2 linked regions of the Diceros bicornis minor genome follow. The protein of the gene in region 2 binds, or shares a complex with, the protein of the main gene of each other region. Links are inferred from orthologs where the notes say so. Each region holds a gene or a part of one and is shown on either strand. Other genes may lie near its edges.

The links. The genes of interacting proteins can lie anywhere in the genome.
Region 1: WRAP53 (region 2) and NOP10 share a complex: the UniProt entries of both Homo sapiens proteins name them as parts of the telomerase holoenzyme complex. The link is inferred for Diceros bicornis minor from reciprocal best matches to the Homo sapiens genes WRAP53 and NOP10.

The regions. Positions count from the first base shown.
Region 1 is NC_080744.1:31,624,807-31,630,843, reverse strand, and holds NOP10 (H/ACA ribonucleoprotein complex subunit 3), read right to left. Parts: upstream 1,313-6,037; 5' UTR 1,251-1,312; coding exon 1,197-1,250; intron 908-1,196; coding exon 767-907; 3' UTR 520-766; downstream 1-519. Other genes in the region: NUTM1 (NUT family member 1), read left to right, coding at 1,783-1,786, 3,044-3,139, 4,834-5,542. UniProt on the Homo sapiens protein: Required for ribosome biogenesis and telomere maintenance. Part of the H/ACA small nucleolar ribonucleoprotein (H/ACA snoRNP) complex, which catalyzes pseudouridylation of rRNA.
Region 2 is NC_080757.1:10,678,903-10,686,118, forward strand, and holds the start of WRAP53 (telomerase Cajal body protein 1), read right to left. Parts: upstream 3,023-7,216; 5' UTR 3,008-3,022; coding exon 2,768-3,007; exon of another isoform or gene 2,639-2,767; coding exon of another isoform or gene 2,555-2,638; coding exon 2,235-2,554; intron 2,070-2,234; coding exon 1,971-2,069; intron 1,704-1,970; coding exon 1,592-1,703; intron 1-1,591. UniProt on the Homo sapiens protein: RNA chaperone that plays a key role in telomere maintenance and RNA localization to Cajal bodies. Specifically recognizes and binds the Cajal body box (CAB box) present in both small Cajal body RNAs (scaRNAs) and telomerase RNA template component (TERC).

The DNA of each region.
Region 1 (6,037 bases), on a different chromosome or scaffold from region 2:
CATTGCTATTCACAACGGCTGCACAAACACTGTAGATATATTAAGATCCACCACTGAACCCTATCAATTTTAGAGTTGGAAGAGAACTTAGAAATGATGAGAAAAATGAGACTGAACAGGTTAAGTGACTTTCTCAAAGTTATACAAAGAGGGGAGAATCCTGGTCTCCTGACTTCCAATTCACTGCCTTCCCTCTACAAAATAGCTATTATTTTTCAAGCAACTCTTCCATTTTGAGTCAATGTCATTTCAAGGGGCAAGAAATTATTTAAGTGACAACAGGGGTATTTTTCAGAGAATGCTGACAGTTGTGGACGCGTCTTTCTCAACCTTTCTTCCCCTTCCTCAACACCCTCCTATCACTAACAGCACAGCAGGACTCCTGCTGCAGCAGCGACTCAAGTTTTTCTTCCAAGTGAACTTGCTGTACCTTTGGGAGTACTCTTCCCTCTCAGCTCCTTCGTTTTTGTCTTTGTTTTTAAACCACTTCTTTCTTCCCACAACATACAAAACAAGAGCTCCTTCAAATCATTTTAATAACTTGGCAGTGACTGAAAACATGAAAAGAAGATTCAAACTTGTTCCCTTTAAGGGAGATGCTACCATGATTGCCTCACACAAGCATGATCAAAAGCAATGATGAGACCGGATTCCACAGAGCAAGGGTGGTCAGAAGGCCTCAAGGCTCACAGATTGAAGAGCGTGGTTTCGGAAAGTCTCTTGAGGGGTAGCAGGCGGCAGAAGACACACGAAATTTAAGGGACTCTCAGAGGACAGGGCGCGGTTGCTGGGTCATGAGCACCTTGAAGCGTTTCTTGATGGTGATTCGGTGTCGAGAGTATTTGTCGTCTGGGGAGAACCGAGCAGGATGGGCCGAGCAGGTCTGTTGTCCCACAGGGTCAAGCTTCTGCTCAAGAAACAGAGAACATCAGTACAGGAGTGATGGGAAAACTCAAGCACCGGCGTCTAAAGGGAGATGGAGGCTGGGATGGGGAGGGGGCCGCGCAAAAAAAGGTAAACAGGACAGAAGACGTGACGGACAGACGAAGGGGTCATACACTCCCGCTTCTACCACGCCTGGCTTCTGGGTTTTCTAGTTCGCCTCACCCAGGGAGGCAACTCGGTGCCTGGTCTCAACCGCTGCTCCCACCTACATTTCTCGCCATACCCATTCACAACCTGTTTCCTCTACTCACCTTAAGCGTATAGACCCGGTCTCCCTGCTCGTTGAGATAATACTGGAGGAACATGATCAGACTACAGCCAGAACTTCCAACTCCGTGCGCAGCTCCGTCCAACAGACCGCCTCACGTGTTTGTCAATTTCCTTCCTGCATAGCCGGAAGTCTCTTTCTAGGCATGCCGGGAAATGTAGTCCACTTAGGCCTTTCTCCAGCTGGCCAAAAGGGGGAGCCCTAGTGCAAGAGTTGGCCCAGTTGCAACCCAGTTGCAACTTTGCTGGCGTTGGCGCCCAGTTGCAACCTTGCAGGCGTTCAGAGACGCGTGGAGTGTGCCCCCTGTGTGCCCGACACTGCTAGGCTGCTAGGCGTTAGAGGGGGGTAAGGATGGATATGAGTTGAACATTGATGAATAGAATCCTGTCTTTATTTCAAGATGCACACCCATTTCAGGGGCAGTGTGTTTCTAGTGTCTGGAGAAACAATAGCTCCAGGATCCAGAGCCCCTTTACCTTAGGGAAGAAAGAAGAAGGTTTTCTTCCCTCCTCTCTTTTACATCCGATCCCCGCGCCCTATTTCAAAGTATTGGCGGTAAAGAGTGCATGATGGGTATTCAATATTCTGTACAGCGAGGAGAGCGTGAAGTTATTTTATGAAACTGGTGAAGTATGTTTTAGAGGTCGAACCAAGATTCAAACTCAGGTCTCTTTACCACAAATTCAGCGCTCTTATGGTGGTGAGTAGCTAATAATAGCATAATAAGATGTACCTCCGAAGGGTATTTCCAATTTTTAAAAGAACGTAGAAATTCTCCTTATAGGACTCTAGTTTGAAAAACGAAAATTGGAGCCCAGATATCATTACAAAGATGATCGTTGCAGTATTATGTATAATAGCAAAAACATTGGAGCATGTATTAATTTTATAACCAGAAAAACTGAAAGACTTTATTTTTTTTAAAGAATATAGTTTGTATTCACTTGTAGTTGCATAAAATATCTCTGCAAGGATTCACAAGAAACATAATATTGGTTTCCTCTGGGATAAAGAACTCCGTCCCAGAGGAAAGGAGTGGGAGGGAGACTTGCTGTATATTCCATTTTGCATAGTTTGACTTTTGAACCATGCTGATGTATTACCCATTTAAAAAATTAAAATTATTTAACAAAATTTTAAAACAAAATAATTTAACAAACAAAAGGAAGGACTTTTTGGTCTTGAAATTTTAGGCTGAATGGCAGTTTTTGATAGAGTGGGGCTTTTCAGCCAGGGGTAAGGCTGAGCCTTCTGTGGACTGCAGAGCTGATGGAAGTGGACTGTTGGGGCACTGCAGGACAGCTTTCCAAGGAAATGATATGCATACAGCAATTGAACACCCTGGGTCTTATGAGACAACCCTAATTTCAGACATTCTATTCCCTTGATCCTTAAGTACACCAGACTATGTGCTCTGAATTTGGTTCAGAAAATATAGCCAACATTGAATTAAGTCAAGGGTCTGCCACAACCTGCTATTAATGGGAAATCAGGTACAGAACTGGATGGGATTGAAGGGCACAGAACTAGATATATTGGTGAAGAGTTGTATAGGGTACTGAGATGTAAAACTATAATGTTGGGAATCTGAGAACGAATATACAAATATCCCTAAAGAGGTACACAACAATTGTGTTGCCATACTCTGGTTTGGAGGGAATTCCTTGTTACTGCTTACTAGAACCCTTTGTGGAGTATCTCCCTCCCCCCACCCCATATTCTGCTGTCCCCTCCCCCACTGCAGAATGCCTTGAGTCCTAGATTCTAGTTCTGTTTTAATCTGATCTTTACCCTCCCTTCCTTGGATCCCTGTGCCTCTACTGGAGCCAGATTACTCTCTGGGTCCTGAACCTGACTGTCTCATTCTGGAGGCTTCCAGACAGCCACGGTTAGCGCCCAAACCTGAGAGGATGGCTTCAGATGGAAGTAAGTCTGCAGGTGGGCGGGAGGGTCCCTGCCACCTGCTCACATCCTTCAGGATTAAAATTTGATGCTTTACTTGGGGACAGGCTCTTTGGGCTGATCTAGAGGGATGCGAGATCACTAGAGACCTCACCAAAGGCCTCTCACTGGGGGAGGCTGGGGAAGGAGGTTGTGCCATTAAGACTGGGGGTTGGGGAAGGAAGAAGGCCTCCTGGGAGACAGATCAAAGCACCTCAGAGGAAAGTGCTGATGATAGAGAAGGAATGGCAGTTAACAACTTGCTTCTCTGGAAGAGGGACCCTTTTAACATATGCTTGTGTGGCAGGGGCAGGAGTATGTGTGGGGCCCAGAGAAGGTTCAAGGGGAAGCCTCGAGTTCCTGTGTCTTCTTTAGGCAACCGGAGGGTGCTCTAGAATTTTGCCCTGAGAGAATTGAGCTGGGGCCATTCTGGATCTTACTGAGGGGGTGGGGGGTGGAGGCCTTAGCTGGAAAACTGTTCAGTGGGGTTATCTGTTGCCAAGTCTGTAGAGAAATGTCCTCCCGAAAGCTAGACTGGAAGGTACTATAAGCGCCTCTGCTCAGAGCCTCATGGCTCCTTCCAGCCCCAGAGATGGCTTCTCTCTCAGTTCAGGGAGCAGTTTTCCTTGATTCCTCCGCCAGGGCCAGGGGAGGTGGGTCACTCCAGCCAGTACAAGAGCTGGGGCTTCCCTGAGATGCTCTCAGCTTTTCTACCTTTTGTGGAGCTCAGGCATTCAAACCCATTTCTTTGTGTTCCGTACTTGGTGGAGTACTCCTGGCCCTCTGCTCTGTGGTTGAGATGACGAGTTTGCTCATATTCCGTGTCTCCTTCATGGTCTGGAAACGGAAACTGAGTGTTGTTAGTTTGCCAGTGGGATATTCTTTATAAGAGGGGAGGAGAGTAGCATGAAATTAGACAGATGATCTTCTATTGTTATTGTTAAAAGTCCTAGGAGACACATGTCCTGATTAATTAAGTACACGTTTTGTGTATTTATCTTTCGTCTCTTTGACTGGAGTCCGCTTAGCTCCTCCTCAGCAAGTACTGTGTTTTGGACTTCCTTATCAGTGCCTTGTTCATAGTGGGCCCTAAATTTCTGATGTTAGGAACTTCAAGCAGAAGGATCACAGATAGTCTGCATTGCCAAATTTTAACATGTCCAGCAGCTACTTGAAGCTCTGGAAACCTCCCTCCCCACACCACCCTGCCCTTGCTCATTTCCTGACCCTTATCTCCAGTCATTCCTGGCTGTTATATAACAGAAGTGCTGGGAACCAAACATCTAATCCACACATCCTCTTCTGGGAACAACACTTCTGTGAGTGGTGGCAGGGACCACAGAGCAGCTGGGAGTAGGGTTCAGGTGGTTTGAATGTGTTGGGAATGGATGGGAATAAAGGTGTACCTGTATGCTGGGTGCAATGAGTTATGGGGCATGAGCTCATAGGTCCAAGAATTATTGCAGCTTCTCTAGTGCAATAATTCTTAACTGGGAGTAAGGGACATCAAGATCACTTGGGGGACATTGCAAACTATACAAGTTCTCTCTCCATATCTCCTCCCTCACCTGTTGAGAATCGGAACTCTGATTCTTCAGGGACTAAAGTGGAACTCTGATGATCTGACTTCTGGTCTCCTTTTCTCCTACTCCATGCCCTCTTTTTCTTTGTCTCACCAGCATCTCCGTTGCCGGGACCGGATGTGACCATGAAACCTGGCGCCACCCGGTCTCCTTTCACTGCACTTCCCTTTCCCCCACCAGCTGCTGGCCCACCAGACCAACCACCTTGGGAGCCACCTCCACAGCCCCCCATGCCTTCAGCTTTCTCTCCAGGCAACCCTCTGGTGCTTTCTGCTTTCCCCAGCCCATTGTTGCTGACAGGGGATGGGGGCCCTGGACCCAGTGGGGTTGGAGCTGGCAAAGTCATTGTCAAAGTCAAGACAGAAGAGGCACCAGCTGAGCCCTCTCAAACTCAGAACTTTATCGTTGCTCAGACCGCCCTCAATTGGATTGCCTCAGATGCTGCCTGTGGGGGCCCCGAGGGTCTTCCCCCTCAATTCATGACAGCCTCTAACGTGAGGACCCTTTTGCCCAGTAAGCCTGTTGGGGTGAGCCAGGAGGGCCTCCTAGGCCTTCCTGCTCAGGCTCCACCAACAGCTGCCCAACTGGCCCCCATTGTGCCCCAGGAAAAGGCTTGGCCAGGGCCACTTGGGGCATCCGGGGAAGGAGGTCCTGCGGCTGCTCGATCCAAGTCCTCGCTGGGTGACCTCTCCTATACCTCCAAGGGTGTTTATGAGAACTTCCGACGCTGGCAGCGCTACAAAGCCTTGGCCCGGAGGCACTTATCCCAAAGTCCTGATGCAGAAGCCCTTTCCTGCTTTCTTATGTAAGTGGGGAGACCTGAGATGAATTATCCTAGGGCTTTAAATAAGGAGGACTTTGGGATGGACAAAAGAGATTAGACTATTTAGGAATACTTGAGGGCAGGTCATGAGCGTGATGGAGATGCTATGAGAACAAAAAGTGTAATAATAATAATGAGGAGGAGGAGGAGAATAAGCCTCTTTACCCACTTCCCAGATTATAATGTTTTTGCAGGTATCTTGTCTCAGGGGTCCTCACATCCTTGTGAGTTCAGGCAAGCGTTTTTATGGTAATCTTCATTTAATAGATGAGAAGACTGAATGAAGCTCAGAGAGGTTTCCTGTGTCATAGAGCGAGGAGCAATGATTGGAATTTAGGTCTCTGACATCAAGTGCCAGAGTCCTCCCATACCGTCCGGCATCAAGACATCGAGTTGAGCCGTGCAAACTGGCCAGGATGAGTGCTGGGCCCTGACCCATTCCTGCAGGGCCAGGCAGAGGACCTTGTGTGTGCCACC
Region 2 (7,216 bases):
TGCCTCCATCACTTCTCTGAAAGTGCTCTTGACAAGTCACTAATGTCTTCTTAGGTCATTCTCTAAATTTGCCTCACTCTCAACAGCGTTGGACATGACTCTGTCTCCACTTTCGTAATTTCTCCTGCACCCCACCTCCACATGCTGGGGCGCTCAGGGCTCTGCTTGAGCCTTCTCCTTCTCCATCTATACTTGACATTGAATCCGTTCTCAAAGCATAAGATACCATCTACACGCTCTCCCACTTCTCAAAGTATATCCCCAGGGCCGGCCCCGTGGCTTAGCGGTTAAGTGCGCGCGCTCCACTGCTGGTGGCCCGGGTTCGGATCCCGGGCGCGCACCGACATACCGCTTGTCTGGCCATGCTGAGGCTGCGTCCCACATACAGCAACTAGAAGGATGTGCAGCTATGACATACAACTATCTACTGGGGCTTTGGGGAAAAAATAAATAAATAAAAGTATATCCCCAGCCCCAATTTCTCCTCTTAGATTTACATTTCACATTTAATGTACCTAAAAACTCTTGACTCCCAACCCAATACCTCTTCATATCCCTGTTTCCTCCTTCGAGTAAACTGTACCATAATCCACCTAGCTGCAAAAGCCGGGACATCACTCTTGATTGCTTCCTTCCCTGCACCCCCACATCCAATTGACCTCCAAGTCCTACATAACATACTTCAAATCCATCCACTTCTCTCCATCTCGCCCGACACCACCCTACCATCATTTCTCGCCTGGACTGTGATAAACGCATCCTAATGAGTCTCCCTGATTTCACTCTTGCCCACCCACAATCCATTCTCTAAACTTCAGCCATCATTTCACTCTCCTGTTTTAAAACTCTCCCATGGCTTCCCAAATAAACTCCAAATGCCCTACCCACAAGACCCAAAACGACATGGCTGCTAGCCACCTCTCCATCCTCACCACGCTTCCCCTTCACTGGCATTCTTTCTGTTCACTGAATACACAAAGCTCTTTCTCAGCTCTGGGTCTGTAATATCATTGCCTCTTCCTGGAATGCTCCTTCCACAGTTCTTCACTTGACTGATCTCATCATCCTTCAGGTCTCAGCTCAAATGTCTCCTTTTCAGAGAGCCTCTCCCTGACCATTTTATATAAAGTGGTATCCTCTAGTTAGTCTCTCTTCATTCTATTTCCTTCATAGCATTTATTATAATCTGTCATGAACTTGATTATCTATTGGTTTACATGTTTGTTGTCTAACTCACACACAAGAAAGCAAATCAGCTCTTCATCTGTCTCCTTCACCACTTTATCCCAGCACCAAACACAGTGATTGACACACTGGTATTCAATCAATAAATATCTGTAAGCCAATTAAACACTGCCATGAGAAATCCACTATTCTTTTATGGGAAACACATATTCCTGACTAAAGAAAGGACAAACATCTGTTTAAATGACTTCAGAATTCAGGGTTGAAAACACTACCTGTGAAAATTCATGGTGAAGAAATGTCCTGTTTGTGAACAGAAAACATGTGGACTGTACTTTCTCCATCTACAGGAAGGACTTAAATGTGCAGTGTCTGATGAAGGAGCAGAGTTAGCCCCTACCCTTACCATTTCTGCATATTCCAGCTGCTCCCCCTCATTGTACAGCTCTGGGGGCAGGTTATAAATCCGCAGGATGTTATCAGCACTATTGGTCAAGATGCAGGAACCATCAGGGGCCCTAGGAGTAGGGAAGAGTAAGAAAGCTGGACAGATCTATATTTTCCAAGTGTAGGGCTAGGGCTGAGCCTACCTCTGGGGTAGGTAAGGCCCCCAAAACCTTGGAGGAAGTAGAAGACACACAATCCTAGATGAAATTTAAGCTCAGTCCAAGAGGGATACTTACTCCTTCTCCCACCTCTGGTGGATACTTCTCCCAACTAACTGGAGTGTTCTAAGGTGAAAATCCTGGGCATGGTTATCTCTCTGCCCCATTATCCTTACTTACCACTTACACCCTTTCAAGAAGTTCTCAGATTGGGTGCTGAACTCTGACCAGGAACCACTGAGAAACCGAGGTAGCTGGGAGAAGCTGTAGTTCCAAGCGCTGGAAGGAAGATGGGGGGACAACAAACCTGGGTCGCCAAAGGAAAAAGGAAATGGGTCTGGAGAAGTGGGGCTGAGGACTGGCGGATAAGGTATATCTCATACGTCCACACATCTCACACTTCAATCTCCTCAGATTCCTGAGGCAACTGCCACCACCACTTACGTGTATCCCTCCTCCTCTGGAGCTGGGTCCTCAGACACACCTTCCACGGCTTCTCCAGGCCCCGACTCTGGCCTGTTAGTTTCTTCTGCAGGAAGGTTCACATTTTCAGAAAGTTCTTGCTCCTCGATTCGAGGGCTCAACTCACTAGGAGTACCAAACCCTATTTCCAGGGGAGTGAAGAGGGAAGCTCGGTCCCCCTCCCTCAGCTCCTGGGACACAGCTGAGCCAGCCGCGGGATCTGGGGACACCTGGGGGGGATCATCCCCATCGGGTGGCGGTAGCATCCGTTCAGGGTCCGTATTTTTATCCACCGCGGAAGGCTTAGGAGAGAGATGGGCTGGAGCTGGGGCCTGGTCTGAAAGAAGGCAGTCCGGACCTAAGAGTGGCGCCTCCGGCGTCTTCATTCTGCAGAGGAAGCGCGGCAGACATTGGCCTCGGCCAGGCAACCCTCCTCCCGCTGGCTACCAGCTGCCTGGCCCGCGGAGCAGCCGAGACAGCTCCAAAGTTCGCACGGATCCTGGAGAAAAACCCACCTGTGCCTTCCTTCTTCTTCCGGGAGGGGGCAGAAGACCCCCGGAAGGCAAGGCGAAGAAGTGGACACCAACGTTAAAAGCACGGCATCCCTCAGCCCCGTCGGTCGCTACGCGCCACTTGCTCTCGCGGGATTTGGGCCCACCTCTCGATTGGACCTCCGCATCCCGGATCAGATTTCGCGGGCGACCCACGGGAGGGGCGGGGCAGGGACGCAACAGGTCCCGGTTTACCGTTCCCATCAAGCCCCGGGGCTCTTAGAGGCTGCTGGGAGTTGTAGTCTGAAAGCTTCTGCCTCCGAGAGAAGCGTCTGAGCTCCCCCTGTCTTCTTCCCGCGGTCATGCTAAAAACACCTACTTCTTACTCCCCAACCTGCAGAGGGCGCCGGCGTTGTATTTGATTTTACAGGTTTCTGAACCTCTTTGGCATCTCATTCGCCAAATTCCTCAGACCTCTGTCTTTTCATTCATTCAATAAATATTTATTATTGAGCTCTTACTTGCTACCCAGTATGAACTGAGTACTGGGAAATACAACAATGAATAAAATAGTAGACAAAGTCCCTGCCCTCCTAAGGCTTATGTTGCTGTGTATTGAAGGCAAGGAACAAATCTTTTCAGAAAGTGATAAAAGCTGTGAAGGAAATTAAACAAGATAGCGTGATATATAGTATCTGGAGGAATACGTTAGATTGGGATATTAAGGAAGGCCTTCCAAAAAGGTAAGATATTAGCTGATGAGAAGAAACTATCCAGCTATCTGGGAAAGGAGTGTTCCAGGCAGAAGGAACAGCAAGTGCAGAGGCTTTCTTCCTTCCACCTTCATATCTGACACAGTGGCAGGAGTCTTCCAAAACGGTTTCCACCAATTCTGCCCTCACGGCTCTGGCTTGCCGAACTTCCCCACCCCAAAATGTCAATAGCTACAGCACCAACACCGCGAGAATCCTAACTTTCTCCGTGCCCTCCTCTCCGACTCTGCATTCCTATAGCCTCCGCCCGAAGGCGAATTGCTTGCCCTTACTTGTCATGGCGACTGTCCAGCTTTGTGCCAGAAGCCTCGCGGGGCTTGCTGGGATTGGGATTTTCCCCTCCCATGTGCTCCGACTGGCGCTAAAAGTTTTGAGCTTCTCAAAAGTCCAGAGCCACCATCCTGGGTGCAGGTAGCCGCCAGGCTCCGGAGTCACCTGGCGTCCGGCCTCGGGGCGTGCTTTCCAGGACGGTGACACGCTCCCGTGAGGTTCGGGTAAGCTCGTGACTGAGCCTGATGAGTCCTCTCTGAGTCACGGGCTCTCGGCTCCGTGTATTTTCAGCTCGGGAGAATCGTGGGGGTTGGGGGTGGGGCACTGGGGACTTAGCGATTTTGGGGGGATGGAAGTTTGGCGGCACCAACATAGGAATGCAATGTTGGGAGGCCTGGGTGTAGATGATGGGGATATTAGGAATTCAATTGTCAGTTGAAATCAAAGCTGAACACCTGGGCGGGGAGTGGGACTTTGGGGGAAACTTGAGCCGGCCTACGGGATTCTTCCCCACCCCCCCTCCATCCCAGTGCCGGGTGTGGGGAATCCTGAAATAAGACGCACAGAGCATGAGGGTCTCAGACTTTCGGATCTCGGAACTTTGGGAATTCATGGTTCGAGATTTTAGAGCCCATGGCATGCTGGTGGAACCTCGGGCTTCATTCCGAAATGATTATTCGGGGTGATCTGGGAAGCCCAAGCTGCTAAGGTCCCGTAACTTCCGGACCTTTGTCCTTCCTGGAATGGTCTCTGCAACCGGTCCTCGGCTCCGCTAGATGGAGAAAATCCAGTTAAAGCCTGTCAGTCGTGCAAGTGGGAAGTGCTAAACGAGAGATTTGCCCGCGAAACCAGGGAGGACTATCCCGGTCTCAGAGGCCCGAGAGCCCTGTTATTGTTTGGCTCTACATTTACATTTCTGCCCTTTGCAGGAGCATTTCCGGTTTCTTTTTTGGGGGCAGCTTACTATTCACCCGATGAGAGGGGAGCAGAGAGACAGAAAATGTCTTTTAGACTGATTCCTATTACTTGCGGAGGGAGGCTGCTAACTCCCTCCTCTACCTCTTTTTTCTTTCTTCCTGGAGTACTTAGTTACCGCTTTGGGAAAGGAAGATATATTTGTTTTGATGCAAACCTCAGTCCCTCCCCCGTTTGAATGGTGTGCTCCACCCTGGTCGACTGCAACCTCGGCGGACGCTACCATTGCGTGGGATGGGTTTTTTTTTTTTTAAAGGGTGCAGAGGGAAACCCCTGGGTATTTTTTTTTTAAAGGGCACATTTGAGAATTAAATGATGAAGGAGTGTAACGACAGGTCGTTTGTGGCGGAGAAACACTTTCTCTTGTTTCCGGCTTTGGGCTAAGCCATTCCACTTTCGGACGCAGACTGAACGTCGTGACAGCGGAAGGGGCGGGTCTTGGCGAGGGGCGGGCCCCGCAGACCTGAGTATCGCTCTCCGGTCCCGGCTAGTTCTTTCCTATGGCAGGGTGCGGAACCTCCGCGAAATCCAACGCGAATCCCTTTCTCCTGCATCTTCATCGCTTGGGTCGCGGTCGTTTCATTCAGCAGCCACTTAGCACGCACCTGCTACGCACCAGACACTGTGCGCGGTACTTCTGTGCTTATCTTTTGTCTAAATTGAGGTAGCATTTATACCCACTGCAGTTAGACGAGTTTTGGCAGCTAACCACCGTGTAACGCCTATCAAAATATAGAACATTTTCATCACCCCAGAAAAGTTTCTCATGCTTCTGTCCGGTCTGTCTTTGACCCCCACCTCTATTTTGATTTCTTTTGCCTGTTGGAGAACTTGTAAATGAAATCGTACAGTATGTGCTCCTTTGTGTCAGGCTTTTTCCTTGAGCATAATGTCTGTGAAATTCATCCATGTTATTGCATGTTATTAGTGGTGTATCAGTATTTTGCTTTTTTTTAAATTTAGTATATTCCATTAGATGAATAAACCATCGCTTGTTTATCCATTCTCCTTTTGATGGCCATTTGAGTTGTTGCCCGTTATTTTGAATAAAGCTGCTATTAACATTTTGTACAATTCTTTTTGTGGTCATATGTTTTCATGTTTCTCAGATAAATACTTGGGAGTGGAATTGCTAGGTCAAAGAGCAGAGAGTAGATCTATATATTTTTTTAACTTTATAAAAAAATTCAAGGGGCCTGCCGGGTGGCGTAGTGGTTATGTTGGCGCACTCTGCTTTGGCCGCCCTGGGTTCCCAGGTTCGGAACCAGGGTGCAGACATATGCAGGGCTCATCAAGCCATGTTGTGGTGGCGTCGCACATACAAAATAGAGGAAGATGGGCACAGATGTTAGCACATGGCCAATCTTCCTCACCAAAAAAAAATCAAGTTTTTTAAGGTGGTTGTACCATTTTACACTCCCACTAGCAAGCTGTAACCTTCCTCACCTTTGGTTTGTCGGTCTTTCTAATGTTACATGCCTTTGTGGTTTAAATTTGCTGTTCTCTGTTAATTATGTTCAACAGTTTTCATTGTGCTTATTGGCCATTCCTATGTCATGTTTGAAGTGGCTCTTCAAGTCTTTTCCCCATATTTTAAATTGGTTTATTTGCTTTTTTTTTTATTGTTGAGTTGTAGGAGTATATAGTCTGGATACACATATCTTTTGTCAGATACACGTCTTTTCTCCTGACCTGTTGCTTGCCTTTTTGCTTAACAGTATCTTAAGAGGAGCAGAAAATTCTTTTTTCTTTCAAGTGTTTGCTGTAACCTGTTTAGGAAATCTAACCCCAAGTTCATGAAGATACTCTCGTATATTTTCTTAGAATCTTTATAGTTTTAGGTTTTATACTTAGGTCTATGAGCCATAATTAATTAATTAATTAAAAAAATTTTTTTTCATGATATGAGCCAGAGGTCTAGGTTTTGTGTTGTTGCTGTTGTTTCTTATATGGATTCCATCCAGTCGTTCTAGCTCCACTTGTTGAAATAGCCTTCCTTTCCCCCACTGAATTTAATTGGAGTGCTTGGTCCATTTACATTTAATGCAATTATTATAAGGTTTGAGTTTAAATCTGCTATTTTAGTGCTATTTTCTATCTGTCTCCTTTGTTCTTTGCTCTTCTCTTCAAACATTTGAGGAAGAAATAATATCACTGTTACACAAACTCTTTCAGAATATAGAGGCAGTAACATTGCCCCCTCATTTTACGAGGCCAGCATAATCCTGATACCAAAACCAGACAAGGACATTACAAGGAAAGAAAATTGAGCTCAATATTCATGTTAGCATATATATGCAAAAATCTGGCAAATTTTAGCACATCAAACCTGGTATATATAAAAATGAGAAATAAATCCTGACCAAATGGAGTTTATCCCTGGATTGCAATGTTGATTTAACATTCAAAACTCAGTGTAATTTGCCACATTAACAGATTAAAGGATAAAAATCCT